Linked DNA regions of Macaca mulatta. The protein of the gene in region 3 interacts with the protein of the main gene of each other region in a pairwise test. Links are inferred from orthologs where the notes say so. Each region holds a gene or a part of one and is shown on either strand. Other genes may lie near its edges. The genes, in order: DUSP12, KLC3, CCNH and SSX2IP.

Region 1 (7,785 bases), on a different chromosome or scaffold from region 3:
ATACTAAATTTCAATTTCCTAAAAGATCAGAAAAAAAAGAGAGACACATACAGGAAGCCAACAGAGAAGAAGAAAGACAGAACTTTTAACCTAATTTTAAAATCCCTGATTTACCCTACTCTTATTATAAAAGTTCAAATATTGTTAAATACATTTTTTTTTAATTAAAAATTGTTTACTTTCTTTTATAGAGATGAGGTCTCACTATGTTGCCCAGGCTAGTCTTGAAACCCTGGGCTCAAGCGATCCTCCCGCCTCAGCCTCCCAAAGTGCTCAGATTACAGGCATGAGCTAATGAGGCATGAGTGCTCAGCCAACATATTCTAATTAGTTTAAAAATAAATGTTAGTCTTATATTTGAAAAAATATAAATAGCCTTAAAGGAAATTTATTAACTTAGGCCAGGGCTCTCAACCAGAAGTAGTTCACTATTTTGGATCAGCTGGTTTTTGAAAAATATTTTATTTTTGATAGGCTTATCTACACTAGAAAGATATAATCTTCAGAAATAAAGGAATTAAATGGAGTAAAACACTAGTTAAAATAAGAGTTTAAAATGCAAGAAGGGTGGCTCAAGCCTGTAATCCCAGCACTTTGGGAGGCCAAGACGGGTGGATCACGAGGTCAAGAGATCGAGACCATCCTGGCTAACACAGTGAAACCCCGTCTCCACTAAAAAATACAAAAAACTAGCCAGGCGAGGCGGCGGGCGCCTGTAGTCCCAGCTACTCAGGAGGCTGAGGCAGGAGAATGGTGTGAACCCAGGAGGTGGAGCTTGCAGCAAGCTGAGATCCAGCCACTGCACTCCAGCCTGGGCAAGAGAGCGAGACTCTGCCTCAAAAAAATAAAAAATAAAATAAAATAAAATAAAATAAAATGCAAGAAGGAATAAAATATAGATGATAAAATAAAATTGTAGAAAATAAAATGTGTTCTCACCTGTCCATCCATCACTCCCAACAAAGCAGATTCCATCCACTGTACAGGTTCAATGAAATAAGATGTACATTGAGCTTGTCTCCCTGTGGTAAGCATGAAAGATGGTGTCATTCTCTTGTGTGCAAAGGCTATAGGTCCACTTCCTTCATGGTGATCCAGAATACTAGAACTTCGAAATAATGATCGCCTGCAACCCCCAAACAAACAAAAACATTAATGACTTCCAAAAGGATGAAAACATGGATTAAATGTGCAGTATTTCTTTTTTGTTTGTTTGTTTGTTTGAGACAGAGTCTCACTCTGTCGCCCATGCTGGAGTGCAGTGGTGTGATCACAGCTCACTGCAACCTCCCCCTCCTGGGTTCAACTGATTCTCCCGCCTCAGCCTCCTGAGTAGCTGGGATTACAGCCACCCGCCACCATGGCCAGCTAATTTTTGTAGTTTTAATAGACACGGGGTTTCACCACTTTTTTTTTTTTTTTTCAGATGGAGTCTCGCTCTGTCGCCCAGGCTGGAGTGCAGTGGCGCAATCTCGGCTCACTGCAAGCTCCCCCTCCTGGGTTCACGCCATTCTCCTGCCTCAGCCTCCCCAGTAGCTGGGACTACAGGTGCCGGCCACCACTCCCGGCCAATTTTTTTGTATTTTTAGTAGAGAGGGGGTTTCACCGTGTTAGCCAGGATGGTCTCGATCTCCTGACCTTGTGATCCGCCCGCCTCGGCCTCCCAAAGTGCTGGGATTACAGGCATGAGCCACCGCGCCTGGCCGGGGTTTCACCACTTTGGCCAGGCTAGTCTCAAACTCCTGACCTCAGGTGATCTGCCTGCCTGGGCCTCCCAAAGTGCTGGTATTACAGACATAAGCCACCGCACCCAGCAATATGTGCAATATTGCTTAGAGGACAAAATAATGTAACACTGATTATGCTACTTAAATTTTCAATAACCCTTACAATCTGATTATTTCTCTTTTTAAGAATTTATATTCTTCCTGAAAACAGATCTGAACTAAAAATTTCTATATTCTTCAATTAAACAAAATCTTCCTACAGAAATTTAAGAAAATAAAACTTTAGCTACTTTTCAGTTACTGAGAAGATAAAATATCCAAAGGATACAAAATATTTTACCTGCACTTTCTACACTTGTAGAGAACCTCATCTTTCAATCCTTGTGAAACCGTGGTTGGGTCAACAGCAAAGAGTTCTTGAGGTAAATTCTGCAATTCTATATGATATAACTAAAATGTATTTATTTGTCAAAATCAACTGCATTTTCAGATAAATTCAGTTAATGTCAAATTGAGGCAAGAAGTGCTAACCTCAGAAATTAAAATAAAAAAAAAAAATCAAATTCCAGTGTTGAGAAATCAGGCTAAGGTAGGAGAGGACAGTGATTTAAGTACTTAGGTTCTGGGCACAGGCTGACCGAGTTCAAATCCCAACCCTGCCATTTATAAACCATGTGATTTTGAATAAGTTATTTCTGGCTAAATCAGTTTCAAAAAGAAACAATAGTTTCTCGGGGATTGCTGGAAGTGAGGTAATGCATGCAATGCCAAAAGTAAATGACATTTAGAAAGCCCATTACACACTAGTGATTATTACTTACCTGGATACTTCTCTGTAACCTTTTGTAAACGATATTGCTTATAAATTGCACTAGAGGTATCCACTTCATATCCCATTGCCTGGTATAATTTCAGTTGCCACTCAAACCCCTCATTCATCCTGTAATGATAAAGAAATACAAAGTTTCATTTTCTTAAAATAACATCACAAAAGCAGAATTATTACTATAAAAAAAAGAACCCACTTGGCCTCTGGTTTGAGAATCTGGAGCTTTTCATAGGCTTTTTCAAAGGGAAGTAGGTCAGTCTTCATGAGAAAAGCAGTTATTATGGCCACACTTCGACTGACTCCTGCGTGACTGAAAAAGAGACCTTTAAAATAAAACAGCAAATAGCAACAATTAAAAACAAACACACAAAACCCAGCCCCCTATTAATAGTAAAGTTTAGGCCCACTTCATTTCTACTTCTCAGATAAGCCCATTGCCTCTGAAATATTATCAGGTACAAAAGAATTATTCCTTTTTCCTCTTGAATTCTGAACCATGTGACTGTATTACCTATTCAAAAATAATAACAGTAATTTTAAAATTTTTTATAATGGCTCAGAACAAATCCAAACTCCTGGCTAGACACAGTGGCTTACTTACCCCTGAAATCCCAGCACTTTGGGCGGCCGAGGTACGGGATTGCTTGAGCCCAGGAGTTGGAGACCAGCCTGGGCAACAAAGTGAGACCCCACCTCTACAAAAAATTAGCCGGATGTGGTGGCGCGTGCCTGTAGTCCCAGCTACTCTGGAGGCTGAGGCGGGAGGATCACTTGAGCCTGGGAGGTTGAGACTGCAGTGAGCCGTAATTACGCTACTACACTGCAGCCTGGGTGACAGAGCAAGACTCAAAATAAAAATAAATAAAACAAAACAAAAACAAATCCAATCTCCTTTCATCTTAGCATTCAGGGACCTCAAAATCTGGTCCCAGACTTCCTTCGATTCTATCACTATCTTCTGTCTTTTATGTGCTCAATAAATTTAAACTATTGTTATTATACTCCAATCCAACCAAGAACTGCTTAGGGATTCCCATTTTCTTTTCTTTTCTTTTTTTTTTTTTTTTTTTTTTTTTGAGATGGAGTCTTGCTCTGTTGCCCAGGCTGGAGTGCTGTGGCACAACCTCGGCTCCCTGCAACCTCTGCCTCCCAGGTTCAAAGTGATTCTCCTGCCTCAGCCTCCCGAGTAGCTGAGACTACAGACGAGCGCCACCACGCCCGGCTAATTTTTGTATTTTTGTTAGAGACGTGGTTTCACCATATTGGCCAGGCTGGTCTGGAACTCCTGACCTCGTGATCCGCCTGCCTCCCAAAGTGCTGGGACTACAGGCGTGAGCCACCGCGCCCTGCCGGGATTCCCATTTTCTTTTTGTCTTTGCTGCAACTATCTCCTCCCTAGGTAAAGCCCAGGGATCCTTTAGATCCAAACCAATTCTCCTCTTCATCAACCACCCCCTACCCATCCCAAACAAAAACATTGAACCCTAAATCTTTGTAAATCCTGTTTACAAGACACCAAGCAACCTAATCTGCATTACAATCATCGGTGGGTGTCTAGCTTCTCCAACAGAGCCGTAAACTCCTTGGGGCGTAGGTAATTTGTCATTTATCGGATGACACCTCCCCCGCCCTCTGTTGCAGCAGGAAGAACCAACTAAAGCATGAATGAATGAAAGCCTGCACACACCAGGGGCCCGCCTCCAGCCTCCTCCTCTCTTGGATACACGCCTCCTGCGGGAGGTAGCTGGAGGAGGTTCACGCGGCATGACCGCGCTCTCGTCCTCCCGAGGGCCTCGGAAGGAAAGGGGTGCTTGGCGGGGCACGTCGCCACTGACCCGGCCACTCACCAGTGCACCAACACCGTACGGCCCTCAGCGCGGGCCTGACCGATGAAGGCCACGCACCGGTCCAGATGGCTGAGCAGATCGGTCTCGGGTTTGTCCAGCGCTGGCACGAAGAGGCGCCACAGATCCTCGACCCCAGGCCCCGCCTTGAAGCTGGGCTCCTCCGAGTCCACCGTTAGCACGGCCGTGATGCCCGCTTCCCTCAAGTGGTCTGGCTCCGCGACGGCCGCGACCCCACTGAGATACAGTCCTGGCTGCACTTCCAGCATCTGCCCGGCGCAGGTGGCTCTGCTGGCACCGGGGTTGCAGGGCTCGCAGCCATGACTCGGGCCCGGAGCCTCCAACATGGCCGCGCCCAGACACCAGGCGGCTCCTGCCCTACCATCGAGTAGGCTCCGGCTAGAACATCCTTCCCCTGGGACTCGCCAGCCTCAGCGGCTCAGCTGCTCCCTTGGAGGACAACGTTGGCCGCAGGAAAATGGACTTATCGCTAAGGGGCGGAGCTTCGGCCCCATTCAGCGCGGCGTTTCGTGCCCTGTTCCCTCTGACCCCCACCCCAAAGTTGATGGTAAAGGATAAGCTTCCCCAAATACAGGGTTTCTCTGGCTTTTAATATTGAAATTTTCAGGAGAGAGACATCAGGAGCAGCTGAACTCAAATGTGAAATAAAGGTCGCACCGGCTGAATCAGAAGCGTCATTTTATGCATTTGAAGTACAATTATTTTCAGTATTATAAAGCCATCTGTACTTTGCATCTTATGATTATTTTTCCTTTTTCTGCCCAATTTCATTATTGGTGTGTGAATCCTTGTTGATGTTTACTGTCTATTTATTTTGAAGATGTTAATCCTATATTTTTGTAAGTCAATGTCCTCCAGCCAGGACTACCCGAAACCAACTTTAATTAAGCAAGTTGGTTTTATTACTCAGTCATGAGCTATGGAGAGTTTCAGGGCATCTCAGCACGAGGATGTTAGGAAGATCCTATACAGATTTTGGGCTTTTATCTGGGGATTTTTGGAAAGGGTTTAAGGAAGCCGGCTTTGCTCCAGATTGAATGCTGCAGGAAGATACTCAGTACTATGAGTATCTTTTATTTATCTCTTGTATAGGGAGGACTATTGGGGGAAATTCAGCCCCCAATATTTCACGTAGGTTCTTTTCTATTTTCCCTAAGTGTCAGCTGGTCTGAGAAATAAAGGGAAAGAGTACAAAAGAGAGAAATTTTAAAGCTCGGTGTCTAGGGGAGACATCACATGTCAGCAGGTTCCATCATGCCCCCTGAGCCACAAAACCAGCAAGTTTTTATTAGCAATTTTCAAAAGAGAGGGAGTGCACAAATCGAGTGTGGGTCACAGAGATCACACGCTTCAAGGGCGACAAAAGATCACAAGGCAGGAGGTCAGGGCGAGATCACAAAGTCAGAGTGAAACTAGAATCACTAATGAACTTCCATGTCCAGCTGTGCACACATTGTCATGGATAAACAAGGTTCAAGAGCAGAGAACTGGTCTGACTAGAATTTGCCAGGCTGGAATTTCCTAATCCTAGCAAGCCTGGGGGCACTGCAGAAGACTAGGGCGTGTTTCATCCCTATCTACATCTGCATAAGACAGACACCCCCAGAGCAGCCATTTTAGAGGCCTCCTCTGGGAATGCATTCTTTTCCCAGGGCTGTTAATTATTAATATTCCTTACTAGGGAAATAATTCAGTGATATTTATCTTGCCCGTTTTCAGTAATGAGAGAAATATGGCTCTGTCCTGCCTGCCCACTGGCAGCCAGACTTTAAGGTTATCTCCCTTGTTCTCTGAAAATCGCTGTTATCCTGTTCTTAAGGTGCCAGATTTCATATTGTTCAAATACACATGCTCGACAAACAATTTGTGCAGTTAACGCAATTATCACAGGGTCCTGAGGTGACAGTCATCCTCAGCTTACAAAGATGACGGGATTAAGAGATTAAAATAAAGACAGGCATAGGAAATCACAAGAGTACTGATTGGGGAAGGGATAAATGTCCATGAAATCTTCACAATTTATGTTCAGAGATTGCAGTAAAGACAGGTGTAAGAAATTATAAAAGTATTAATTTGGGGAACTAATAAATGTCCATGAAATCTTCACAATTTATGTTCTTCTGCCATGGCTTCAACTGGTCCATCCATTCAGGGTCCCTGACTTCCCACAACAGAGGACAGGCGAGAGAGATACTAAAGTTGTAATTGGTCAAGACGTAGAAGTTATAATGCTGGTATAAAGATAGATACATCGATCTGTTTCTGTTCTAGAACAGAACAAACCCTTGCATGTGGAGTCCTAATTAGGGAAAAGGAGTCAGGCTGGCTGGACGAAGGGAAGCAAAAGGAGAAAGCAGATAAGCCACAAGTCTGCCTTTCTTCATGGTCCAGGACACACAGCCCTGCTGTGCAAATAACTCAAAATCTGCCTGAGCCCAGCCATCACCAGACCCCTAGCTGATAGAAAAATGGAAGTTAGTTCACTGCAACCTTGACATTATTAGTACTGCACAAAGCCCTCTTCTGCACACAACATAAGCACCATTCTACAAAATCCCCAGCAAGCCTTTGTTTTCTAGCAGTCAACTTCTCTCTTGCTGACCTGCCTGTTGTACCCTTGCAATGTATTTTCATACTTTCTCTAATAAACCTGTCTTTCTTTACCTACAACTGTGTTGGTAAATTCTTCCTACCACCTGTGTCACCAGCCCAGAAAGTTGTTGATCACCTGCCACATTGCATATATGTTAGAATAATCTTCAAAAAGAGTGTCAAGACCACACAATGGAAAAAGGACAATCTCCTCAACAGTGTTGGCAAAAACTAGATATCCACATGCAAAAGAATGAAGGTGGACCCTTACCTTGGACCATATACAAAAAATAACTCCAAATAGATTAAGGACCTAAAAATATAACATTCTTAGTAGAAAACATATGGGGAAAGCTTCATGGCCTTGGATTTGAAAAAAAATTTAAAACAGGTAAGGGTCAATGGTCTCATTGTCTAACGTGTTATCCGAACTTGTTGTCTCATGACTGAGAAAATTAAGGAGCGTGGGCACAAAGAGTGAGGTTGAAGCAAAAGTTTAATAAGCAAAAGAAGAAAGCTCTCCACAGCAGAGAGGGGAGCCCAAGTGGGGTGCCATTTTTACAGTTGAATTCAAAACATGTTATAAGAAACTCCTCTCATCTCTATAGCTGTTTGAGTAACTTCTCTTATGAATAAAGCTGTCTGTGCAACTTCCCTTATCTTCTACAGATGTGGGTATGTCTCTAGGCAAGCACAAAGCATGGCTTCTCTTATTTGTATCACTGTGGGTTTGTTTTAGGTAAGGCCGCGTCCTTCTTGTGCAAGTTCCCAC
Region 2 (7,295 bases), on a different chromosome or scaffold from region 3:
GGGCCAGATATGAGGGGGACAGGTATGCAGGGGACTGGGAGAGGGGTTCGCTATTGCTGAGGGGCACACTTTGGGAGGCTGAGGTGGGCAGATCACTTGAAGTCAGGAGTTCAAGACCAGCCTGACCAACATGGCAAAACCCCATCTCTACTAAAAATACAAAAATGAGCTGGGCATGAGGCTCCTGTAATCCCAGCTACTCGGGAGGCTGAGGCATGAGAATCACTTGAAACTGGGAGGTGGAGGTTGCAGTGAGTGGAGATCGTGCCATTCCACTCCAGTCTGGGTGACAGAGACTGTTTCAAAAAACAGCAAAAAAAAGTATGGCAGAAAGGCATATCTGGGGCAGGCGGAAGCCTAGGGGAACGAGGCCTGGGAAGGTGAGGCTCCAGGCCAGAGATGGAGTCCCTTGGCAGTTCTAGGGGGTCCTTGTATGTGACAGGGACCCCTGAACCAGATGGCATTCTTCAGTAAACTGTGGGTCCTAGGGCAACTTCAGGGGTGAAATCAGAGGGGCTGCTTAGAGCCTCTGAGGGCACTGGAGCCACGCTGGTGGAGTCTCTGCAGAATCTGGGGGTGTCGTACATAGTAGTGGGGTGCAGCGGCCTGATTCGAGGTCTGAGCTGGGTCAGAGGCTGTCTGGCAGGGTAGGAACCAACCTCGACTTGGGACCCACACCCTGGGCAGGTGCTGCTGGCCTTGTCGGCACACGTGGGTGCACTGGAGGCAGAGAAGCAGCGGCTGCGCTCGCAGGCCCGGCGGCTGGCCCAGGAGAACGTGTGGCTGCGGGAGGAACTGGAGGAGACACAGCGGCGGCTTCGGGCCAGCGAGGAGGCCGTGGCCCAGTTGGAGGAGGAAAAGCGCCACCTGGAGTTCCTGGGGCAGCTGCGACAGTACGACCCGCCCACGGAGACCCAGGTGCCACGGGCAGGGCAAGGTGGGGGTGCTGGGCCCTTCACAGAGCCCCACGGTTCCCCAGACCCTCCTTAGAATCCCAGTCCCCCAACCCTCCACAGAGCCCCCAGACCCACCAGAACTTCCGCAGACGCCCCCACTAGCTGCTCCCCGAAGCCCCCGGGCCTCGCCAGTCCCCCAGGGGGCCCCTGACGCTCATGATCACCACCTCCCTCAAACCCCGAGATAGATGCAGGGCTCCAGTCTCTGAAACAAGCCCCCCTCCCCCGGCCCCCCACTTTCCTGTCCCTGCAGCAGTCTGAGTCCCCGCCTCGCCGAGACAGCCTGGCCTCCTTGTTCCCCAGCGAGGAGGAGGAGAGGAAAGGTGGGTATCGGGAGTACATGCCACAGATGATGGCGGGCCAGGGTGGGGAGCGGGCTCTGAGCTGCAGAACCCCAAAATCTCTGAACAGGGATGGGGAGGTGAGGGCAGGGTCAGGAGGACCCTGAATGTGACAGTGAGCAGGTGAGGCTGGGAGCTGCGAAGACAGGGTAGCTGCCATGAGCCCGGCAGGCCCCGTATTCACATCTTGCAGGGCAAGTGAGCTGCCATGTACCTGTCCCGAGGCCAGGATGCATCCCACCAGCTGGTTAGATGCTAGTGACTCCAATCTCAGAAGTTAACATGGGGGCCCATAGTCCCAGGGGCCAGTTAGGCAGTCTGGGGCGTGTGTCTCCTCGTGCGAGGATGGAGGGGCAGGAGGCTTAGGAGGCTTGCAGTGACCCAGAGCCCACCCTGCCCCACCCAGGTCCTGAGGCCGCAGGAGCAGCAGCAGCTCAGCAGGGTGGCTATGAGATCCCTGCCCGCCTTCGGACCCTGCATAACCTCGTGATCCAGTACGCGGGGCAGGGCCGGTATGAGGTGGCGGTGCCCCTGTGCCGCCAGGCCTTGGAGGACCTGGAGCGCAGCTCGGGCCACTGCCACCCTGACGTGGCCACCATGCTCAACATCCTGGCACTGGTATACCGGTGAGATGCGGCCGGCCATGATGGCAGGGGGCAGGAACGGCAGGGACCCATTGGGTGCAAGTGGAGGGACCCTGGTCCCCTCTGCCACCATGGAGCACCTGGGGAGGTCGGAGGAGGGGACAGCCAGAATGGGAAAGGAAGGGAAGGCTCCTGCTGTAAGAACGGCAAAGAGGGAGTGGGCCAGGGATCTGGCGGGTTGGCGGGGCACTGAGTCAGGCAGAGAGGAGTCAGAGCACAGACACCAGGGACCCCAAGAGCAGGCAAGAGAACTGGGGTGGTTAGAAGCTTGGCAGAGGTCTGGGGATACAGGGCCTGGTGTTAGAGAATTGGAAGGTATGTAAGGGCCCATAAAAGGCCCCCAAAGGGTGCTACCCATGCTTGGTTCAGCCAGGTTCCCTGGACCTGCCAGAATTAGCCCAGCCCCTGTGGCTGTAGCTGCCCCAACCCCCGGCCAACCCCCGCCATCCCTGGGCTTCCACACAGGGACCAGAACAAGTACAAAGAAGCCACAGAGCTCCTCCATGATGCCCTGCAGATCCGGGAGCAGACGCTGGGCCCTGAGCACCCTGCGGTGAGTGGGGCCCCAGGGAGACGAAGTGGGGCCATGCCTGCCCATCCCTGACCTGTGTCTCCCCCAACCCCACAGGTGGCCGCCACGCTCAACAACTTGGCCGTCCTCTATGGGAAGCGCGGGCGTTACCGGGAGGCAGAGCCCCTGTGCCAGCGCGCTTTGGAGATCCGAGAGAAGGTCCCATCCCCCTTACCCAACCCCGAGGAACCCCTTGTAGCCCTCTCCATGGATCCTGAGCACTTACATCGTGACCCTGATCCTCGGGCCCCTTGCGTTTGGTACTGGGAGACCCCAATTGGAGCCCAACCCATCACCCTCGACCTTCTGAGATCCCAGTTTGGTCTTGACCCTGACTCTGACCTCTTGCCTTACCTCACACGCCACCCCCCAACTAGGTCCCGCCACAGCCTTTCCAACCCCTCATGGCCACTGGCACAAGCCCAGCCCTGACCTACCCATCTCACCTTGTGCCCCGTGAGTTTCTGGATCACCTTGGCCTCTGACCTCAGTAATCCCGCTCGACGGTGTCACTTGTGCCCCAGCCCCCAACCTCTCAGGTCACTCTGCTTTGGCCCTGTAATCCCTAACTTGTGACCACCATACAGAAGTGATGTCACGTGTCCCACCAATCCTGTATGACCCCTCTGACTTGTGACCCCTGGCCCCCAGGTCCTAGGTGCTGACCACCCTGATGTGGCCAAGCAGCTCAACAACCTGGCCCTGCTGTGCCAGAACCAGGGCAAGTTTGAGGACGTGGAACGGCACTACGCCCGGGCCCTGAGCATCTATGAGGCCCTGGGCGGGCCCCATGATCCCAACGTGGCCAAGACCAAGAACAATCTGGTGAGGTCCCTGGGGCTGAGTGGGCCCAGAGTGGAGGGTCTGCCCTGGGGAGGCACCCATTGGTTGGGTACAGGGCACCATGGGGAGGGGTCCCCCTGAGGCAGGGCCCTTGGAGCAAGTGTCCTATCAGACACAGGAGCTGGCTCAGCACAGAACACGGAATCAGGAAATGCGTGAGTCCACGGGACCCAGGACAGTCAGTGAAGGGGAAGCTGGCAGGCACAGATGGCAGCAGCAGACATTTATTGAGCTCACTGTGGCCGGCTCCCCTCTTAGCTCTGTCCCCACATCACTAGTTCTTACAGTGTCCCTATGAGGTAGAAGCTGTCACTCTACTTTGCATGTGAGAAGAGAGGCCATGCCACCAGCCCAAAGTAGAGCAGACAGGCTCAGAAACAGGAGGTTGCCTGCCCTCCATCCCCCAGGCAGGAGGTAGGGCGGAGCTCCAAACCCCCTCTGCCCCAGGGCAAGGCTTTAGGCAGGGGCGGGATATGGCCAGGTCAGCACAGTAGAAAGTGGGACTGGGGCCAGGTGTGGTGGCTCACGCCTGTAACCCCAGCACTTTGGGAGGCCAAGGCAGGAGGATCAGTTGAGGCCAGGAGTTCACGACCAGCCTGGGCAACATACCAAAACCCTGTCTCTACAAAAAAAAAAGAAAAAAAGTGGGACTGGATGCAGTGTTGGGAACTGGGGTCCGAAAAGTTCCCAGACTAGAGCCAAGATCACCCAAGACACTCCCTTCTCCGCAGGCCTCAGCCTACCTGAAACAGAACAAGTACCAACAAGCGGAAGAGCTGTACAAAGAAATCCTCCACAAGGAGGATCTACCTGCCCCTCTCGGTGAGCCCCGAGCCCCTGCCTTCCCTCCTGGTGGCTTCTCTACGTCCCCATCTCGGTGTCCCCCATCTTTCCCCTAGGTGCCCCCAACACAGGCACAGCTGGTGACACAGAACAGGTGAGGATGGGCTGTGCTTCGGCTCCTGGGGAAGGCGTGAGGACTGCATGGGCTCGGAGATATGAGCAGCATCCCTGCCCCTCCCCAGGCCCTTCGCCGCAGCAGCTCCCTCTCTAAGATCCGCGAGTCTATCCGGCGAGGAAGTGAGAAGCTGGTCTCCCGCCTCCGAGGCGAGGGGGCGGCGGGGGCGGCCGGGTGAGTGTGGATCAGGTCGGCAAAGAGCCCTGACATCAGCAGAATTCATAGCCCACCCCCCACCCCTCCTGCTCAAGAACCTTCCATGGCTCCCATCTCCCCTGTGATACACATAGATCAAATCCTGTGCTGGAAAGCTCCCTCCTGGAGGGGCCACTCCTGGATTCACTCGCTTCTTCCCTGCTGCCCCCTTCGCAGAATGAAGAGAGCCATGTCGCTCAACACACTCAATGTGGATGGCCCAAGGGCTCCTGGGACTCAGGTGAGGGGACACCGGGGTCAAAAATGGAGTGGGGCCACGTGGGTAGGTGCAGAGATAAGGCAAAAGCAGGGCGGTCAGGCCGGCGTCAGAGTCAGCAGGTGGTGGGTGTGTTAAAAGAGACCCAGGACAGGAGCAAAGATGGGTTTTACTTGGGGTAGAGGTGAGATGGGTAGACGGTTGGCTGCCAGGCTGGATGCAGCACCTGTCCCTCCCCTCCAACCATCCCCTGTGCCTGTCTCCAGTTCCCCAGCTGGCACCTGGACAAGGCCCCTCGGACACTCAGCACCAGCACCCAGGACCTGAGTCCCCGCTAATATCCAGTGACCTGTGTTGGCCTCAGCTGGTGGGGGACGGGGGGGGTCTATCATCTCTTAGGTGCCCCCTGCCCTCTTCTGCGATTAAAGGCCGTGGATGTGACAGTGAGGAATGTCACCTGAGTTTATAAGACCTTCCAGCACCACCCCCGCTACGGCCTCAGAGCTGCTGGTTTAGGGCCAGGCAAGACTCAGGAGTCACCAGGAATCATTTATGGCCCTGCCCATCCCGCTCAGAGCTGCTGAGCAATCTGCTCTATCCTCTGCAGCGTCTCCTCTGATTCCAGCTGCTCCAGGCTGAGCAAGGACAGGCCCAGCTGATCCTCCTGCAGAGAACAGAGGAAAGTAAGGGGGGCACTGTCAGGAAGGGGCCCAGGCAGCTGCTGTACTTCCCCGACCACCCGCCCCCGATGGGCATTAGGGGTCTGAGACATGAGGGCCAGGATGTTTGAATTTGGAGATGTCAGTATAATCCAGAGTGGGCCATTCCTGTCCACATAAGAGGGGGCTGAGGGAGGAGCCAGCCAGGGCGTCGGAGAAGGACGGGCTTTCCCCAGGCCAGCACAGTCTCAATGCCTGATACCTCCTCACCCCAAATTCTCACCCTGCCTTGCCTGGGCCACCTGCTGGCATCTGTGGCCCCTCGAATCTCTCCCTACCCCCCAGAGCCTGGCATGCAGATGCACAATAAACTTCTCTCTGTAGAGGGCAGGAGGACAGGCTGGGGTTGGGGAGTGGGGAGAATCCAAGGGGCCTTTCTGGAGGAGGAGCTCAGCCTGGGAGGATGCTGGGAGGGGGATGCAGGCCTCACCCGGTGGAAGGGCTGTGCCATCTGCCGCAGGAAGTACTTGGCCACCTGGACACCCTCATCCACAGTCAGGTTGAGGTTGGCATCTGTGAGGTGCTCCTGGATCCAGCGGGGCAGTTTCCCCCGCTTGTCCCCACGGGCAAACCGCTGTGGGCAGAAGTGCAGGCCAGGGAGAGGACGTCAGCACCAGAGTCAGGGAGCCTGGGCCACCCTCCACCCTGTGACACACCCCATCTGGGAGATGAACGGGCAAATAGCCTGGTTTTCAGAGGCTGGGGTGCGAGCACAGGGGCACCCCTGAACCTGCACCTTGTCGGCAAAGACCATGAGGCCGTAGTCCGTCTTGCCCCGGATGGCCCGACCCACACACTGGGCCGCATGGCGCATGGCATCGAAGGTGAGAAAGTCATTCTCACGAATCTGGAACTGGTCCCGCAGGTATTCCAGCCGTGCCTGCAGAAATGAAGGACGAGGAGTTGGGGGGGTGGGGGAGCCGTCCCTCCCCTGGCCCTAACACTTTGGGACTTCTGGGAGCCAGAGCTACTCACCTTGAGAATGCGACTCTGTGTGTAGACGTAGGGGACGCCAAACATGATGACGGCCCGCCCGTAGTGGTGCACTGGTGGGCAGAGGAGAGGGGTCGAGGGGAGTTACAAGTGTGGCTGGTGGGACAGGGACAGCCTCACGCGCCCCAGGATGCTGTGTCTGAGTGGGAGAGAGAGGGTATGCTCCCGCCGGGTGCCTAGGGCCAGAGGGGAGGGGAGGGTCCCTCTGTGCACCCAGGCTGTGGGTGGGTGGTCCCCCGCGGGAGCAGACAGCAGGTGTTCCAGAGAGCTCTGGGAAGACACCTGGGGAGGAAGAGCGAGTCCACTCACCGAAGTCGATTCCCTCAGACACTTTGCCCCGGGCCACTGACAGCAGGATGGCCCCGCGTCCATTCTCGCAGGCCTGAGGTGGGGAGGCAAGATGCAAGTTGGGTCACTCCTCGGAGCCACCTCCCCACCCCCTCCACGCTGGCCTCACACACCCACCTCCTGGTACTTCTCCAGGGCGACACTGGTTTCGGCACCATCCTGGGTCTCAATAAAGAGCAGCTTGTTCCTCTGGATGTTCTCAAGGATCCCCTGGGGAAGGACCCAGGGAGGTCAGGGTGGGGGTGGCAGAAGGTGGGTTCAGGGCACGGCCATCCTGGTTATCTCCAACTCTCCTACATCACTATTTCTCTGGGCCTCAGCTGGCTCATCTGAGATGTGGGGAGGGAGGGTGGAATTGTCCAACCTTACTTCTTTGGGGGGAACTTAGTGATCTGGGTGGGGAACCAATCACTGCTGGATAAGTGGGGCAGGCATGTGGCTCAAGGGGGTGGCCAATCAGGGCACCCCATCCCCTGCCAGCGACTGGTGGAGGGGCTGACTGTGAGGCAG
Region 3 (7,260 bases):
GAGAAAGGTAGAAGAAGATTTGACACACTCAGAGAAGGCACCGTTAAGACAGCAGAGAAAGATTTAAAGATGCTTGCCTTGAAAATTGGAGTGATGTGGTTGCAAGCCAAAGGAAGCAGGCAGCCACTGGAAGCTGGAACAGGCAAGGAATGGATTTATCCCTGGAGCCTCCAGAGAGAGTGTGGCCCTTCCAGCACCTTAATTTTGGTGCAGTGAAACAGATTTCAGACTTCTGGGCTCCAGAACTATGAGATAATAGATTTCCGTTGTTTTAAGCCGTCACGTTTGTGATAATTTTAATAGCAAGGTTGGGAAAATAATACAGCCCTGAATAACCAAGATTTATCCAGCCCAAAACGTTATGAGTGCTGGTGTTGAGAAACCCTGTCCTGAGTTGAGTAGAATCTCTACTTATTGGCTGAATTAACCAGCATTCTCCATTCCTCATTCTTGCCCATGGCACACTTGGTCATGGCTGCTAAGCTACTCTTTGGGGTTAAAAGTCAATCATGTGGCCGGGCGCGGTGGCTCATGCCTGTAATCTCAGCACTTTGGGAGGCCGAGGTGGGCAGATCACGAGGTCAGGAGATGGAGACCATCCTGGTGAACACTGTGAAACCGCATCTCTACTAAAAATACAAAAAATTAGCCGGGCATGGTGGTGGGCACCTGTAGTCCCAGCTACTCAGGAGGCTGAGGCAGGAGAATGGCATGAACCCGGGGAGCAGAGCTTGCAGTGAGCAGAGATTGCGCCACTGCACTCCAGCCTAGGTGACAGAGTCAGACGCCATCTCAAAAAAAAAAAAAAGTCAATCATGTTTGTTTCCAAACCTTGTGTAAATTGTTCTTGTTGATTAAATTTGTAATGTAATTAAATGTTAAACCAGTAAAATACAAGATTGAAATCTTGATCTTCGATGAGAGTAAATGGGTATACATTTTACATATTTTGTGTTTTAAAATTTAAGATGCTTCAGGGCATCTCTATCATTTCTTGATTCTCTGCTCGAAGTGATCCTGAGGGCTTCCTTCTTGGAGAATGATGGCTGTGGTTTATGAATTATAAACTGTAGGTCTTTAGTTATGCCACTAGGGGGTTCACTTTAAAAGCTAATTGTGATTTGACTGTAGCTGTTAGGATCATAGAACTTAGTAGGTAAAGGGGGTCTTATTCCAGTGTACTCATTTCATAGCTTAGTTTTATTACTGATTTCTTCTCAATACCTTTGTTTTGCTCCACTTATTTTAAAATGAAATAAAAACAGCTCTTTATGAAACACTCAGAAGTTTAATGCTACTAAGATACTGGTAATTTTTGGAACACAGATACTGTCCTAAGGGTGTTGAGTTACAAGTATTAATTCAATTAAAAATACTGTTTTGTTTGCATTATGAAATAGGTCACTAGTGTAGTCATTTGGATCACATGGCTGGCTAACAGTAATAATAAGCTCATTGGATCTCATTATTCCCCTAATGTTGAAATTGGTATTCTTTGGTTTATTATAGTTGAATAGCAAGATCAGCTAGAGGATGCTTTTGCAATTATAAAGTTACTGATATAGTAGTTTGCTTTTAACCTGAAGTGGACATTTTTGTATAGGGTCTGCTTTTTGTTAAAGCAAAGGATTATTAACAAATTTTTACTAAGCATCCTTCCTTTATTGCATGTTGTGTAATAACAGTTTACTTTGTAAAGAGGAAGTATACTGTTGGCCCACTATCTATGGAATAGAATATTACAAAGATGGTTGGTGATAGAGAACAAAACATGTTCACTAAATCATTTAGGGATTTTTTTTTTTAAGTCTTAAAACTGAACAAGAAGTGACCCCAGTAGGATTTTCAAAAAATACTAGATTATACAGTGTGCTTTATGTTATATATGATATGGGCTAAACAGCAGAGAGCCATAATTACTTCAACTAAACATGCAGTGCTTATTGGATTTTAATGTAAAATGAAATGCAGAATGATGCAAATCCTGAGAAGAATAACCATGTCATTTGCAGGGTGTTTTGTTGTTTCCTATAACAAAATGGAAAAGTAACCAGCTCCGCTACTATAAGAAGGTTTGCTTATTCAGTTTAAATTCTTTTTTGTATCCACATAGGCATGAGAAACTTAGTAAAAAAGTATGAGCCACCCAGATCTGAAGAAGTTGCTGTTCTGAAACAGAAGTTGGAGCGATGTCATTCTGCTGAGCTTGCACTTAATGTAATCACGTAAGTTGATGTGACAGTGTTAATCAATAGACATAATTGTTACCCAGTCCAACTGGTTCGTAAATCATTTTATTGGTGTTTGCTCATTTGAGGAAAGCTGACTGATCCATTAAATCAGATTTCCTTTATTGAATGGACATTTCTAATGAGATTAAGTTAATAGTTTGGCATTCACTGTGCAGTTCTGATCCTGCTGTGACTCATATGTTCTTTGGCTTGCAGGCCATTCTGTTCTGTTACTTCTCATGGGATTTCAGGGGTCAGGGTCTTCCTAAGGAATCCTTTTACCTTTTCCTGTCCTTTTAATCTTTGGTCTCTCTGAAGCTGTGATACCTGGTCTGAGGAACAAATATGCTGTTCCAGACTTCTGTTAGCTAGAGTAGGGAAAGTTGGCATACTTGCTTTCAGTGACAAACTTTATATTGACGATAAAGCCAGTAGGAAAATAGGCTATTTAATTTCTTCTTGTAGCTAGACATAACACCTTTAATGTCTCTTAATTGATATGTAAGCTGAATGTGGAAATCACCATAAAATTGGCAATGCATGCTTTGTAAATTGAAAGATCCACTTAAACTTTCTCTTTTAGGTGTTTAAGCAGTTGGGAATTTGGACAGGTACTAGGATTAATTAAACTGTCATTTTCTATTTCCTTTGGGATGCATTTTGTTACTTAAAATTATACTGTATTTGTTAAAATTTAGTAAGAGTTATCTGTGGCATTTTATATTTAAGATGTATTGAGGTATTATTTCTGTAATTGGTGAATATGTGCTGCTGGATACCTATGAAAAGCCAGAACAGCATTCCAAGGCCCTTATGTCAAATACACATGATTCAAATTCCTTACCTATACAGTTGTAGTCGGGGAATATATAGGGAGTTAGGAAGTGTGCAGAATATGAGGTTGTTTTATTATAGGTAGAGCTATAATGACAAAGCATGATTTAGCACAGAATTTGAAATTGGTGGATTCCATTCACTCCCGGGTTTCAGTGGTAACAGGAATTTTTCAGAGTGGTTACAGAGAAGTAATGTTGGCTTTAATGAATAAAAGTATTGCAGCACTGATTATGTTCTTTTTGCATTGATTTTGAAATGGGATTAGACCAGGGGTTGGCAAACTGTGGCCTATCAGGCCTATCCAGCCCATTAGCTGTCTTTAAAACAGTTTCTTGGAATGTAGCACACCCATTCGTTTATGTATCACCTATGGCTATTTTCATGATACAGCAGAAAAGTTAGGTAGTTGAAACAGAAACTGATTATAGGGCCTTGCAAGACCTAAAATATTTACTGTCTCTTTAAAGTTTATCCACCCCTGGATTAGACCACTGAACTATTAATCCTACCTTTTCTAGCTAAGTAACTGAATGGACCATAATCCAGAATTCCTAACTACCATAGCTTACATTTTATTCCAGATTGCCATCTGCCTTGTACTGGGTGGGCCAAGCAAATTCTGAATACCTATGAGTACTTGAGGGGTGCTTCTTAAACTGTGAAGGACTTTTTTAAAAAAATTCACTAGATGTATACTTGTGTAAAATTCAATAAAAAATGAATTACTAGAAGAGTGAAGACTAAAAACATAAGCTCAAGTTTTATTAGATTCAACAGTCATAAAATTATATCAGATTACTATTAAAAATTTCTAGGGCTGGGCACAGTGGCTTATACCTGTAATCCCAGCACTTTGGGAGGCTGAGGCAGGCAGATCACCTGAGGTCGGGAGTTCGAGACCAGCCAGCCTGGCCAACATGGTGAAACACCGTCTCTACTAAAAATACAATAATTAGCCGGACGTGGTGGCGGGTGCCTGTAATTCCAGCTACTTGGAAGACTGAGGCAGGGAGAACTGCTTGAACCCCGGAGGGGTCACAGTGAGCCGAGATCACGCCATTACACCCCAGCCTGGGCAACAGAGTGAGACTCTCAAAAAAAAAAAAAAAAAAAAGAAAAGAAAAAAAAAAACCTTCCAAACACAATTCCTATACTTAACTCACTGCAAACTGTGCAAACTGTTCATGGAACAGCCCTGGTACTCACTACCATGAGTAGTGCTACTTTAGGACTAAATATTTGTTTTCCTTGATCTTCAAAATTATTTTACCTTTATTTTTCATGACACAAAAACTGTTTGGTCCTTGTCAGTCAATACAAGTGAAACCAAAGTTCCCTTTGATCAAAACCCAAATCTGTCATGACCTCAGAAGTTACTTAGCAGTTGTTTACCTTTGCCAGCCTTTTCTCTGCACGTATATCCATATGTATTTATGAAATAAGTCACATTTTCTTCTTCTTTGCATCTTTCATACGTATTGTACAACGTGTAATTATCAATGCTTAGCTTTTGCTAGTCTGAGTGAAAAAGTACCACATTGGTATTTTAATTTGCATTTTCTTAATTATGGGGCATTGAAGTTTCCACGTTTAACAGTCACTTATATTTCTACTGTGTTGCTTATTTATTCCCCTTGTCCAATTTTCTGGCTTTTGTTTTTTTTTTTTTGAGATGGAGTCTTGCTGTGTCACCCAGGCCTGAGTGCAGTGGCGCAATCTCACTGCAACCTCTGCCTCCCGGGTTCAAGCAATTCTCCTGCCTCAGCCTTCCAAGTAGCTGGGATGACAGGTGCGTGCCACCACGCCCGGCTAGTTTTATTTTTTGTATTTTTAGTAGAGATGGGATTTCACCATGTTAGCCAAGGATGGTCTCAAGCTCCTGACCCCCGCCCACCTCAGCCTCCCGAAGTGCTGGGATTACAGGCGTGAGCCACCGCACCTGGCCACATTTTTGTGGTTTGTAGTGCTTTATAGATTCTATATACAGTCATTTTTCAGTATCCATGGGGGATTGGTTTCAGGACTTTCTGCTGATAACCAAAATCCACAGATGCCCTAATACAAAATGGTGTATTTGCATATAACCTGTACACATCCTCCCATATACTTTAAATCATCTCTAGATTACTTATAATACCTAAATACAATGTGAATACTATGTAAATAGTTATCATACTGTATTCTTGAGGGAATAATGACAAAGTCTGTACGTGTTCAGTACAGATAGAATTTTTTTCCTTATTTTCAATCCGCAATTGGTTGAGTCCACAGATGTGGAAACCACAGGATACAGAAGGCTGATTGTATTTATTTATATATGATATATTCTATTGTTTTTCACAACTTTTTTCCAAATACTAATTTTTGCCCCAGCTCCCATAACCCCACTTTTTTGAGAAAGTCTGTGTCATCCAGGTGGAGTGCAGTGGCTCGATCTTTGCTCACTGTACCCTCTGCTGTCTGGGCTCAAGTGATCTTCCCACCTCAGCCTCTCGAGTAGCTGGGACTACAGGTGCTCAACCACGTTGGTTAATTTTTTAATTTTTTTTGTAGAGACAAGGTTTCGCCACATTGCTCAGGCTGGTCTCAAATTCCTGGGCTCAGGCGATCTGCCGCCTCGGCCTCCTAAAGTGCTGGGATTACAATTGTGAGCCCCTGTGCCCGGCAGGTCCCAGCTCATTTTTTATTTCATGTTTTTCCTAGTTATTTGAAACAGTTTTTATCACACATTAAATCTGTACTTCTGCATAGTCATTACTTTGCTTAATCTAGTCTGATCATTGATTTATGATCTCACTTTTAATTACCATAGCTTTTGTAATATCTCACTTTTAATTACCATAGCTTTTGTAGTATGCTTTGAAGATAACTGGGACAAGGTCTTCCAACATTGTTCTTTTTTATATTATCTATTTTTTCACACTTCTTCCTAGGTCAGTGTTAGACTTGACAAATTCCATGAAAAATTTTATTGGGGTTTTAATTAGAATTGCATTTAATTTAAAGATTGATTTTAAAAGTATCATTTTCCCTACCCATAATCTTCATCTTTTTCCATTTATCCAGGCCTATGTTTTTCAGTATATACATGATATTGCATATGGCCTTGCTAGTTTATTTTACATTTTATAGTATCTGTGGCTGGTATTAGATTGCTTATTGATAGTTGCATAATTATAGGAAGAAGAGGAAAGGCTATGAAGATGATGATTACGTCTCAAAGAAGTCCAAACATGAGGAGGTATGTTTTACTCCAAAGATGAACTCTAAGTCATTTTTGTTACACATTCTGGTGTGATTATACTATTAAGATTTGTTCTCCAAGAGTATAAGCATTATAGAGTTGTGGGTTTTTTCATTTTTTGCATACTTCCTTACGTACAGTACTGTTGTCCATTATTAAAGGGATTTTTCTCTCTTCTGTCTTTCTTGATGAAAAATCCTTCTTGTGTTCATAGAAAGAAGCAATATGCATACATACTACATTTTTGCTTTATTTCTTATTTTCCAAGGATTTTTCCCTTACCCCCTTTTAAAAACAAATTTTCTGTCAAGTCAGGTAAGTGAATAATCAGAGGCAGAAGGTCACAGTTGTAACCTTTATTCCTCATTGGAGTAGTCTGGTGAGACCATGCCAACATTACTAACAGTGAACTATTACAAAATTTCCTGGTTTATCTTTTGTAATCCACATGGGTAAAAGGAGGAGAACATTTTCCTAAAGGGAGGTAAGAGGTAAACAATACTGGTTATGCTTCAGTGTTATCCTTACCACACTTTTTTTCCTTCTTAGGAAGAATGGACTGACGACGACCTGGTAGAATCTCTCTAACCATTTGAAGTTGATTTCTCAATGCTAACTAATCAAGAGAAGTAGGAAGCATATCAAGCGTTTAACTTTATTTAAAAAGTGTAATGTGAAAACAAAATATATTAAAACTTTTCTATTACTTTCTTTCCCTTTCACAGTAACTTTATGTAAAATAAACCATCTTCAAAAGAGCTAGAATAGCACCTGTTTTGAATATTCTTATTCCATCATGACTAATATCAAATTAAAGCTGCAACTTACTTGCCTAATTTTTTAAGCAAAATATGATAGGCAAACCTATGCTTTTTTAAGAAAAAGGCACCACAAAACCCAAAACTTAGTAGCTAGCTTTAAAAGTGTTAAGGAATGTGTTTTGCCCTC
Region 4 (7,260 bases), on a different chromosome or scaffold from region 3:
TGCAATCTCCACCTCCCGGGTTCAAGTGATTCTCCTGCCGCAGCCTCCGGAGTAGCTGGGATTACAGGCATACACCACCACACCCAGCCAATTTTGTATTTTTAGTAGAGATGGGATTTCTCCATGTTGGTCAGGTTGGTCTTGAATTCCCGAATATCTTTTACATTCTCCATTTTGAGGCCTGCTTGACCTCTTATATGTAGTTAACCTTTTTATCTCAAACTCTGTCACTTCTAGTCAGTTCTTAACATTCACTAATACTTCTTAAAGGTTAGCATAGTGTCCGTTACTCCTGCAGCGTCTTCAGTTTTTGGTCCAACCTTAACGTCTCATCACCAGATTTCAGTCAGCAAAAGTATGTGGCAAATCAGGGAGATCTTTCTCCAGTGATTAAACCTTCCTCACCCCCATTACTCAGCCAGTGGGTAGTATCCTGTATAATTCTTCATAATTCAGATGTTTAAGTGGACTAACAACGATCTCTTGAATATATTTTCTAGTTTTAAAAGATCCATTTTTCTAGTTCCCTTTTCTCTTTCATTTTTGTAGGGAAAGATTTTTGAAGCATTATAGCAAGAGAAATAAGATGTAATGTTGGAATGCCTAGGTAGCATCCAGGTTTCATTTATTATTTGACCTACTTACTTGTAGCTAAAACATATACCAAAAATTCAGGTAAAATGAGTTTGTTGTTTTGTTTTTTGGTTTTTTAGAGGCAGGGTCTTGTTGCCCAGGCTGGTCTTGAACTCCTGGGCTTAAACAGTCATCCCACTTTGGCCTTAACAAAGTATTGGGATTACAGGTGTGAGCCACTGTGCCCAGCCAAATTTTTTATTTTCATTTTGTGGTTACAGAGTTCTGTTCAATCTGAGAAATGTGCAATAATTACTCATTTTTCTTTTTTTGAGACAGAGTCTCGCTCTGTTTACAGGCTGGAGTGCAGTGGTGCCATCTTGGCTCACTGCAACCTCCACCTCCCGGGTTCAAGCGATTCTCCTGCCTCAGCCTCCTGAGTAGCTGGGACTACAGGCATGTAACACCACGCCCAGCTAATTTTTGTATTTTTAGTAGAGACAGGGTTTCACCATGTTGGCCAGGATGGTCTCGATCTCTTGATCTTGTGATCTGCCCACCTCGGCCTCCCAAAGTGCTGGGATTACATACAGGTGTGAGCCACTGCGCCTGGCCAATAATTTTTCTAACAGATTCGTAGTATTCTAATAGGCTTTAAAATGTTCAGAAGACAAGTTGTGCTTCCTTGAAACAGTTACTGGCAAGTAGCTTTTGAGGATTGGAAGGGGCTAGAATCACCATGAGCCAGATCCTGGGCCATTCCCCTGTCTGCTCTGCCTCTGAATCCCTGACCTCTACTAGCCGTTGCTGACCTCAACTACTGATAGAGTTCTTCAGACTCAGTTGCTCCCTCATCCTGCTGATCTCTATGTGAGAGCAGTCGAATCAGCCCTTCTTTCTTTTCAGCTTTTGTCTTCCTTTTTACCCCAGCAAGATTTTTATTGTTCAAATTAGTGAAGCGTATCTTTCTACCTTCCTGAATATTAATGACAAATTAGAACTACTTTATGTAGATGTGGGTTATTATGACATATATCCATTTTAGTATTGTTTCCCCATGTTCTTTATCCTGCTTTGATTCTGTATGATCATATATCAGTAAAGTTTGCTACTTCTTTATGATTTCATGTTTTGGCAGAATACAAAGAAAAATATCTCCAGTTGTATACAAAAGTACATGAGGAAAATAGAATTAACAGTTGCTTCTATTAAGTACTTCAGAGATTATTTCACAAATGTGTTTCTTTAAGCAGCCTAGGGTTAGAAACAAGTTGATCTAATGTCAAATATCAGTTCTGCCTCTTAGTTGTAATGCTGCTTCTCTAAGCCTCAGTTTTCCTACATTGTAATGAGCTGAGGGTTAAATAACGTGTGAAAACATCCAACACATTAGACAGCTATTGATATCTCCTCAGACAGCTTCATGACTCTTGTCATTAACTGTATTTGGATTAACTGTATTTGGATTCAAATTCAGGTTTAGAGCGAGCTGAATTTAGGAGTCTCTGTCTTTTTCTTTTTTTTTTTTCCAAGACATTTATGTTAAATACTGGGTCATATGTGCATAAGACACAGCACAGAAATGCTTCGGATGCGGCTCCCTCTGGAAATCAAACTGAAGACTACTTGCCTGAGCATCTAAAGCCATTGTAAAGTGGTAGCCTTTCCTCTTCATCTCTCTCCACTTGTAGGTTATTTCTGATGTTGAAGAAGATGCCGGGGAACTGAGCAGAGAGAGCATGTGGGACCTTTCCTGTGAAACTGTGAGAGAGCAGCTTACAAACAGCATCAGAAAACAGTGGAGAATTTTGAAAAGTCATGTAGAAAAACTTGATAACCAAGGTAACCACTGCTTCTCTGCATGTAAAGTGAGTTGTGACATTTGGTAAGGTGTTGATTTTCAGTCACTTAGAAAGCTATATCTGTAGGCTCAGAGCTAAAGTACTATATACTTCAGTTTGGTGGTTTGAAAGCAAGATTTTGCATACATTTATTTTTTCATTTTATTTTATTTTACTTTCTGACACAGAACCTTGCTCTGTCACCCAGGCTGGAGTGTAGTGGTGCGATCTCGGCTCACTGTAACCTCCGCCTCCCAGGTTCAAGTGATTTCTCCTGCCTCAGCCTCCTGAGCAGCTAGGACTATAGGCGCGCATCACAGCCAGCTAATTTTTTGGTGTGTTTTTAGTGGAGATGGGGTTTCGCTGTGTTGGCCAGGCTCATCTTGAACTCCTGGCCTCAAGTGATTCACCTGCCTTGGCCTCTCCAAAGTGTCCAGATTACAGGTGTGAGCCACAGTGCACAGCCAAGATTTTACATACATTTAGATGTGAGGTTTGAACCTCACTGAGAAAAATACACTTTGGTCTCAGGGTGAATGTTTGAAAAGAGGACATCATGGATCCATCTGCTCTGGATGCAGTATACAATCGAATAAAGATAACTGAGCCGGGATAAAAGACTACACATTGGATATAGTGTATACTGCTTGGGTGATGGGTGCACCAAAATCTCAGAAATCACCACCAAAGATCTTATTCATGTAACCACACACCACCTGTTCCCCCCCAAAAAAGAGAGAAAACTGAGTCTCTTTTACTGACTCTCAAAAAATCAAGAAATATTTATCATAGTATAGATAGGAACTTTTTGCTTATTTCTAGATGCTTGCAGATTACTGTGTTCCTAGTAATTCACTTAAAATTATTTTTAAAATAATAGATGTTTAATGCAAAATATTAATTTGGAAGTATATAAAGTAGAATATCCAGGTCTCCATTCCATACATATAACACTTAACAGTTGGGTGTATATTTTTCTAGACTTTCCTCTATGGATTTGCAAGATACTTATTTTTAAAAATTTTTTAAAAATTGAATATCACCTATATTTTTGTTTAGTGTGCTTTTTTCACTTTATTATTTCAGACATTATTCTTTTTCCTTATACATAGCTCTACATTGATGAATATATTCTTAATATTTTCTACTTGGTAAAGTTTGCTTTTAAATTAGGAAAATGAAGATTTCTGCTCAGTAAATGAAGCCTATTTAAAGAAAAAATTTAAATTGTCAAAATATGAACTCAATGCCATTATGTTAAGTAGTAAAGAGCAATCGGCAAAATTATTATTACAACACCAAAATGAATATACTCGAGATTTTGTTCATTTGAGTCAGTGCTGTCTACTAGCAAATAGCAAGTGTGTTTGGACTTCGTGTTTGTTGAATTTAATATTTGAGAGCAAGATTTGTGACACGTCATTGATCTTTGAAGCAGTGTCAACAAAAACATAATGATTTTATTTTTCTCTTCTCTGAATATGGCCATTTTGTCTGTTTTTAATTAGGACATAATCTTGAATAAATATGGTTTACAAATTAAATCTTGGCAATAGAGCTCCATTTGTAAGCATATCATTTAGTCTTAAAATTGTACAAATATATAATTGTCATGAACTCCTGTAGTTGCTGTGCTGCTTAAAAATTTTTTATAATGTTAAAATAATATAAATGTAATTTTGTTATAGCTTATGAAATTTTAAAAAGCCAAAGGACATAACTACTTTTTAGAAAACCTATAAAATTCCAGAAAGATAAAAGTTCTGAGAGCCCTTATTTTAACGATATGTGTAGAAACACTGTAAACTAAATGGTGGCTATAAAACCTATGTCAACTTACTGATTTTGTCTTAGTTTCAAAGGTACACCTGGAAGGTTTTAATGATGAAGATGTTATCTCACGACAAGACCACGAACAAGAAACTGAAAAACTTGAGTTAGAAATTCAGCAGTGTAAAGAAATGATTAAAACTCAGCAACAGCTTTTGCAGGTGAATATGAATTACCTTGTAAAACTTGTTCTCCATGAGAAGCCAGAATTGTGCTGAACGTTAGCAGATTTGTATTCCTTTATTTCATAAGGCCCTGGTATTTGACAGTTTTCTAGTCTACGTTTCCTGCTAACAGATACGTTGTGTACCATTCCTTAAATAGTCCATACTTTGCTAGTTGGGGTCGTAGCTTTTGGGAAATGGGAATTCTCGTTTGACTTTTGGATTCTTAATAATTTATATTCCTGCCCTGAAGTTTGACCCACCTTCCTTTGCTTTCATTTCAAGTTGTTGGAGTGTTGCAGGGCCCCTCAGGAACTTACTATGTTTTAAATTTTAATAGCAGCAGCTTGCTACTGCATGTGATGATGATACCACTTCACTATTACGAGACTGTTATTTGTTGGAAGAAAAGGAACGCCTCAAAGAAGAATGGTCGCTTTTTAAAGAGCAGAAAAAGAATTTTGAGAGAGAAAGACGAAGCTTTACAGAAGCCGCTATTCGCCTGGGATTGGAGGTATTTTAAATAATGGTAGTGCTTTTGAAAATACTGGGGGTGGGTGGGCCTTAGTAGAATGCTTCTAAGGTCTACTTTGGTTTCTTGCTATTTACTTATTTTCTAAAATATTTACTGGTGATCTCATAAATAATTTGAAATGAAAGAGAGGCTGAGCATATAGAATGGGATTATTTCCCCTTACCAGATTTGAGAACTGAACTAAAAAAAAAAAAAAAAAAAAAAGGCTATAAGCATTTATTACTCCTTTCAGATTGGCTTTCTCCTGCTGAGAGATTTCCACAAGAAATCTCTTTTGGTATCCATCATTCATCCACTGTCAGTAGGTGTGGTGTCAGAAGACAGTGCAACCAAGACTGCGTTGCTGTTTAAAAAGGAAGTATAATAAAAAAATTAAGTTCTCTTCTCCCCAGTCCACTATTGTTATATATATGCTCTACAGCTTGCTTTTTTTTTTTTTTTTTTTTGTGACGGAGTTTTGCTCTTGTTGCCCAGGCCGGAGTGCAATAGCGCGATCTCGGCTCACCGCAACCTCTGCCTCCCGGGTTCAAGCGATTCTCCTGCCTCAGCCTTCCTGAGTAGCTGGGATTACAGGCGTGCGCCACCACACCCGGCCTATTTTGTATGTTTAGTAGAGACAGGGTTTCTCCATGTAGCTTGCTTTTTTTACTTAGCAATGTGTCTTCTAACATATTCCCCCCTCAAAAATTGTAGCAGTAATGTCTGACTATAGTTAAAAGAAATCAACAAAACTCATAAAAAAAGCTACAAAGTGAGAAAGTCTCCTCCTTTCCCGTCCCCAGTTTCAGTCCTTAGAGGTAACTTTTGTTAAAAGTATCTGTTGGAAATTCTTGTAGGAAGTACTATTTTAACTTTTAATGTATTTCAAATTTTCTTCTTTATCAGTTTATTGATTCTCTGCTATGAAAGATAAGGAATTCTGTGTCCTTATTGTATCTCCTGCCTACACCCTTCCTCATTCACATCTCATGTCTTCATAATGTTGTTCCTTTTGTTCTTCTGATTGCCTTTTTTTTTTTTGCTTTAAGGAAATAATGTGAAGCTTCCATTTCATTTTATGTTTGTTCAACTTCAGTCAGTGTCAGTTCATCCCTGCAGTGAAAGCTGAGGACATTCTTGTAGTTACTCTTGTTCTACCTCTCTTGCTCCCCTACTTTGCAGTTTTTGTTTGTGATACTATTTTTCATTGTTATCACATTTATAGTTTGTCCTTCAATACAATCCAGGTATAAGTACTTTGTCTAAACTTGAGACTTCAAAGTTGGAAAACCAGGAAAGAAAATTGATAACATTACAATTATGTAAATATAATTCTATAACCAAATATGTTTTGACACAGAAAATACTCTGTATTGTTAAGACTTTGCCACCCAGATATATCACTATCTAGTGAATTCTTTGACTTTCTCTGTAGCTTCCTTTGTGATTTCCTGAATCAGATTCGGCTGCCATGTTTCTTATATCTCATGTTACTGTCTTTCTTGGGTTTCTATTCAATTTGCTGTATTACCTTCTTGAGTAATTTTTTTTTATAAATAGTGCATGAGCTATAAACATTCTGAATTCTGGAATATTCAAAAATATATTCATACATGATTGGTTTGGGTGTAGAATTTAGATTACATTTTTTTCCCTCAAAACTTTGAATTATTCCCTTTCTCCTAGTGTTTAGTTTTACTGATGAGAAGCCTGATTGTAATATACCTGTGTTACTTTGTAGATATCTGTGTTTTGTTTTCTGTTTCCCTCTGTGGAAGCTTGGGTATTTTTTTAAAGTTTAGACATTTTACCGGGATATGTCTGGAGAGTTCCTTTCAGCCTAAAGGTTCTGTATTTCTTTAATTTAGGGAAATTTTCATCTTTATTTTTTCCTTCTTTGACTTCTCTGTGTTCTGAAACTTTTGTTAGACACGCATTTGGCCTTCTGAATATATATCTACAGGTTGACTTTTGTTCTCAATTCTGGAATATTCTCTTACCTTTGTCTTAGAGATCACGAAACTGGCCTTTCAGGGTCAGTTTTATTATTTGCTTTAGCCACTGAGTTTTTGTTTCAGAATTTATCTTTAAAATTTTCTAATGTCCCTAATTTTTGCTTTTCTTTATATAGCGTGATGATATTTTACAGATGTTTATTAATCTGTCTGATAATATGTGTTACCTTTTTTTTAAAGATTTCTTTCATCTCTTGAATTATCTGTTATCCATGGTCAGTTTTCTATTTATCTTGACCTTTTTTCTATTACTAGTTTTCTCAAATGTTTGGTGATGCATAATTCTGTATCAATATTTATGAATGAAAGATTGTGTGTTGCTT

The links.
Region 1: the proteins of CCNH (region 3) and DUSP12 interact in binary tests that used the Homo sapiens proteins (3 or more experiments, as listed by UniProt). The two-hybrid records come from large-scale screens. The link is inferred for Macaca mulatta from reciprocal best matches to the Homo sapiens genes CCNH and DUSP12.
Region 2: the proteins of CCNH (region 3) and KLC3 interact in binary tests that used the Homo sapiens proteins (3 or more experiments, as listed by UniProt). The two-hybrid records come from large-scale screens. The link is inferred for Macaca mulatta from reciprocal best matches to the Homo sapiens genes CCNH and KLC3.
Region 4: the proteins of CCNH (region 3) and SSX2IP interact in binary tests that used the Homo sapiens proteins (3 or more experiments, as listed by UniProt). The link is inferred for Macaca mulatta from reciprocal best matches to the Homo sapiens genes CCNH and SSX2IP.

Annotation. Positions count from the first base shown.
Region 1 is NC_133406.1:105,161,803-105,169,587, forward strand, and holds the start of DUSP12 (dual specificity protein phosphatase 12), read right to left. Parts: upstream 4,781-7,785; 5' UTR 4,748-4,780; coding exon 4,404-4,747; intron 2,867-4,403; coding exon 2,753-2,866; intron 2,668-2,752; coding exon 2,549-2,667; intron 2,165-2,548; coding exon 2,068-2,164; intron 1,127-2,067; coding exon 940-1,126; intron 1-939. UniProt on the Homo sapiens protein: Dual specificity phosphatase; can dephosphorylate both phosphotyrosine and phosphoserine or phosphothreonine residues. Can dephosphorylate glucokinase (in vitro).
Region 2 is NC_133424.1:57,868,740-57,876,034, forward strand, and holds the end of KLC3 (kinesin light chain 3), read left to right. Parts: intron 1-687; coding exon 688-918; intron 919-1,209; coding exon 1,210-1,279; intron 1,280-1,703; coding exon 1,704-1,923; intron 1,924-2,406; coding exon 2,407-2,494; intron 2,495-2,569; coding exon 2,570-2,671; coding exon of another isoform or gene 2,672-2,944; exon of another isoform or gene 2,945-2,968; intron 2,969-3,163; coding exon 3,164-3,337; intron 3,338-4,086; coding exon 4,087-4,177; intron 4,178-4,254; coding exon 4,255-4,292; intron 4,293-4,361; exon of another isoform or gene 4,362-4,380; coding exon 4,381-4,487; intron 4,488-4,685; coding exon 4,686-4,749; intron 4,750-4,878; exon of another isoform or gene 4,879-4,991; coding exon 4,992-5,063; 3' UTR 5,064-5,172; downstream 5,173-7,295. Other genes in the region: ERCC2 (general transcription and DNA repair factor IIH helicase subunit XPD), read right to left, coding at 5,297-5,389, 5,875-6,018, 6,181-6,324, 6,420-6,490, 6,747-6,819, 6,903-6,995. UniProt on the Homo sapiens protein: Kinesin is a microtubule-associated force-producing protein that may play a role in organelle transport. Plays a role during spermiogenesis in the development of the sperm tail midpiece and in the normal function of spermatozoa.
Region 3 is NC_133411.1:93,770,785-93,778,044, reverse strand, and holds the end of CCNH (cyclin-H), read left to right. Parts: intron 1-2,113; coding exon 2,114-2,225; intron 2,226-6,248; coding exon 6,249-6,309; coding exon of another isoform or gene 6,310-6,366; exon of another isoform or gene 6,367-6,861; coding exon 6,862-6,900; 3' UTR 6,901-7,083; downstream 7,084-7,260. UniProt on the Homo sapiens protein: Regulates CDK7, the catalytic subunit of the CDK-activating kinase (CAK) enzymatic complex. CAK activates the cyclin-associated kinases CDK1, CDK2, CDK4 and CDK6 by threonine phosphorylation.
Region 4 is NC_133406.1:155,908,028-155,915,287, forward strand, and holds part of SSX2IP (afadin- and alpha-actinin-binding protein), read left to right. Parts: intron 1-2,264; coding exon 2,265-2,415; intron 2,416-4,268; coding exon 4,269-4,405; intron 4,406-4,748; coding exon 4,749-4,922; intron 4,923-5,175; exon of another isoform or gene 5,176-5,544; intron 5,545-7,260. UniProt on the Homo sapiens protein: Belongs to an adhesion system, which plays a role in the organization of homotypic, interneuronal and heterotypic cell-cell adherens junctions (AJs).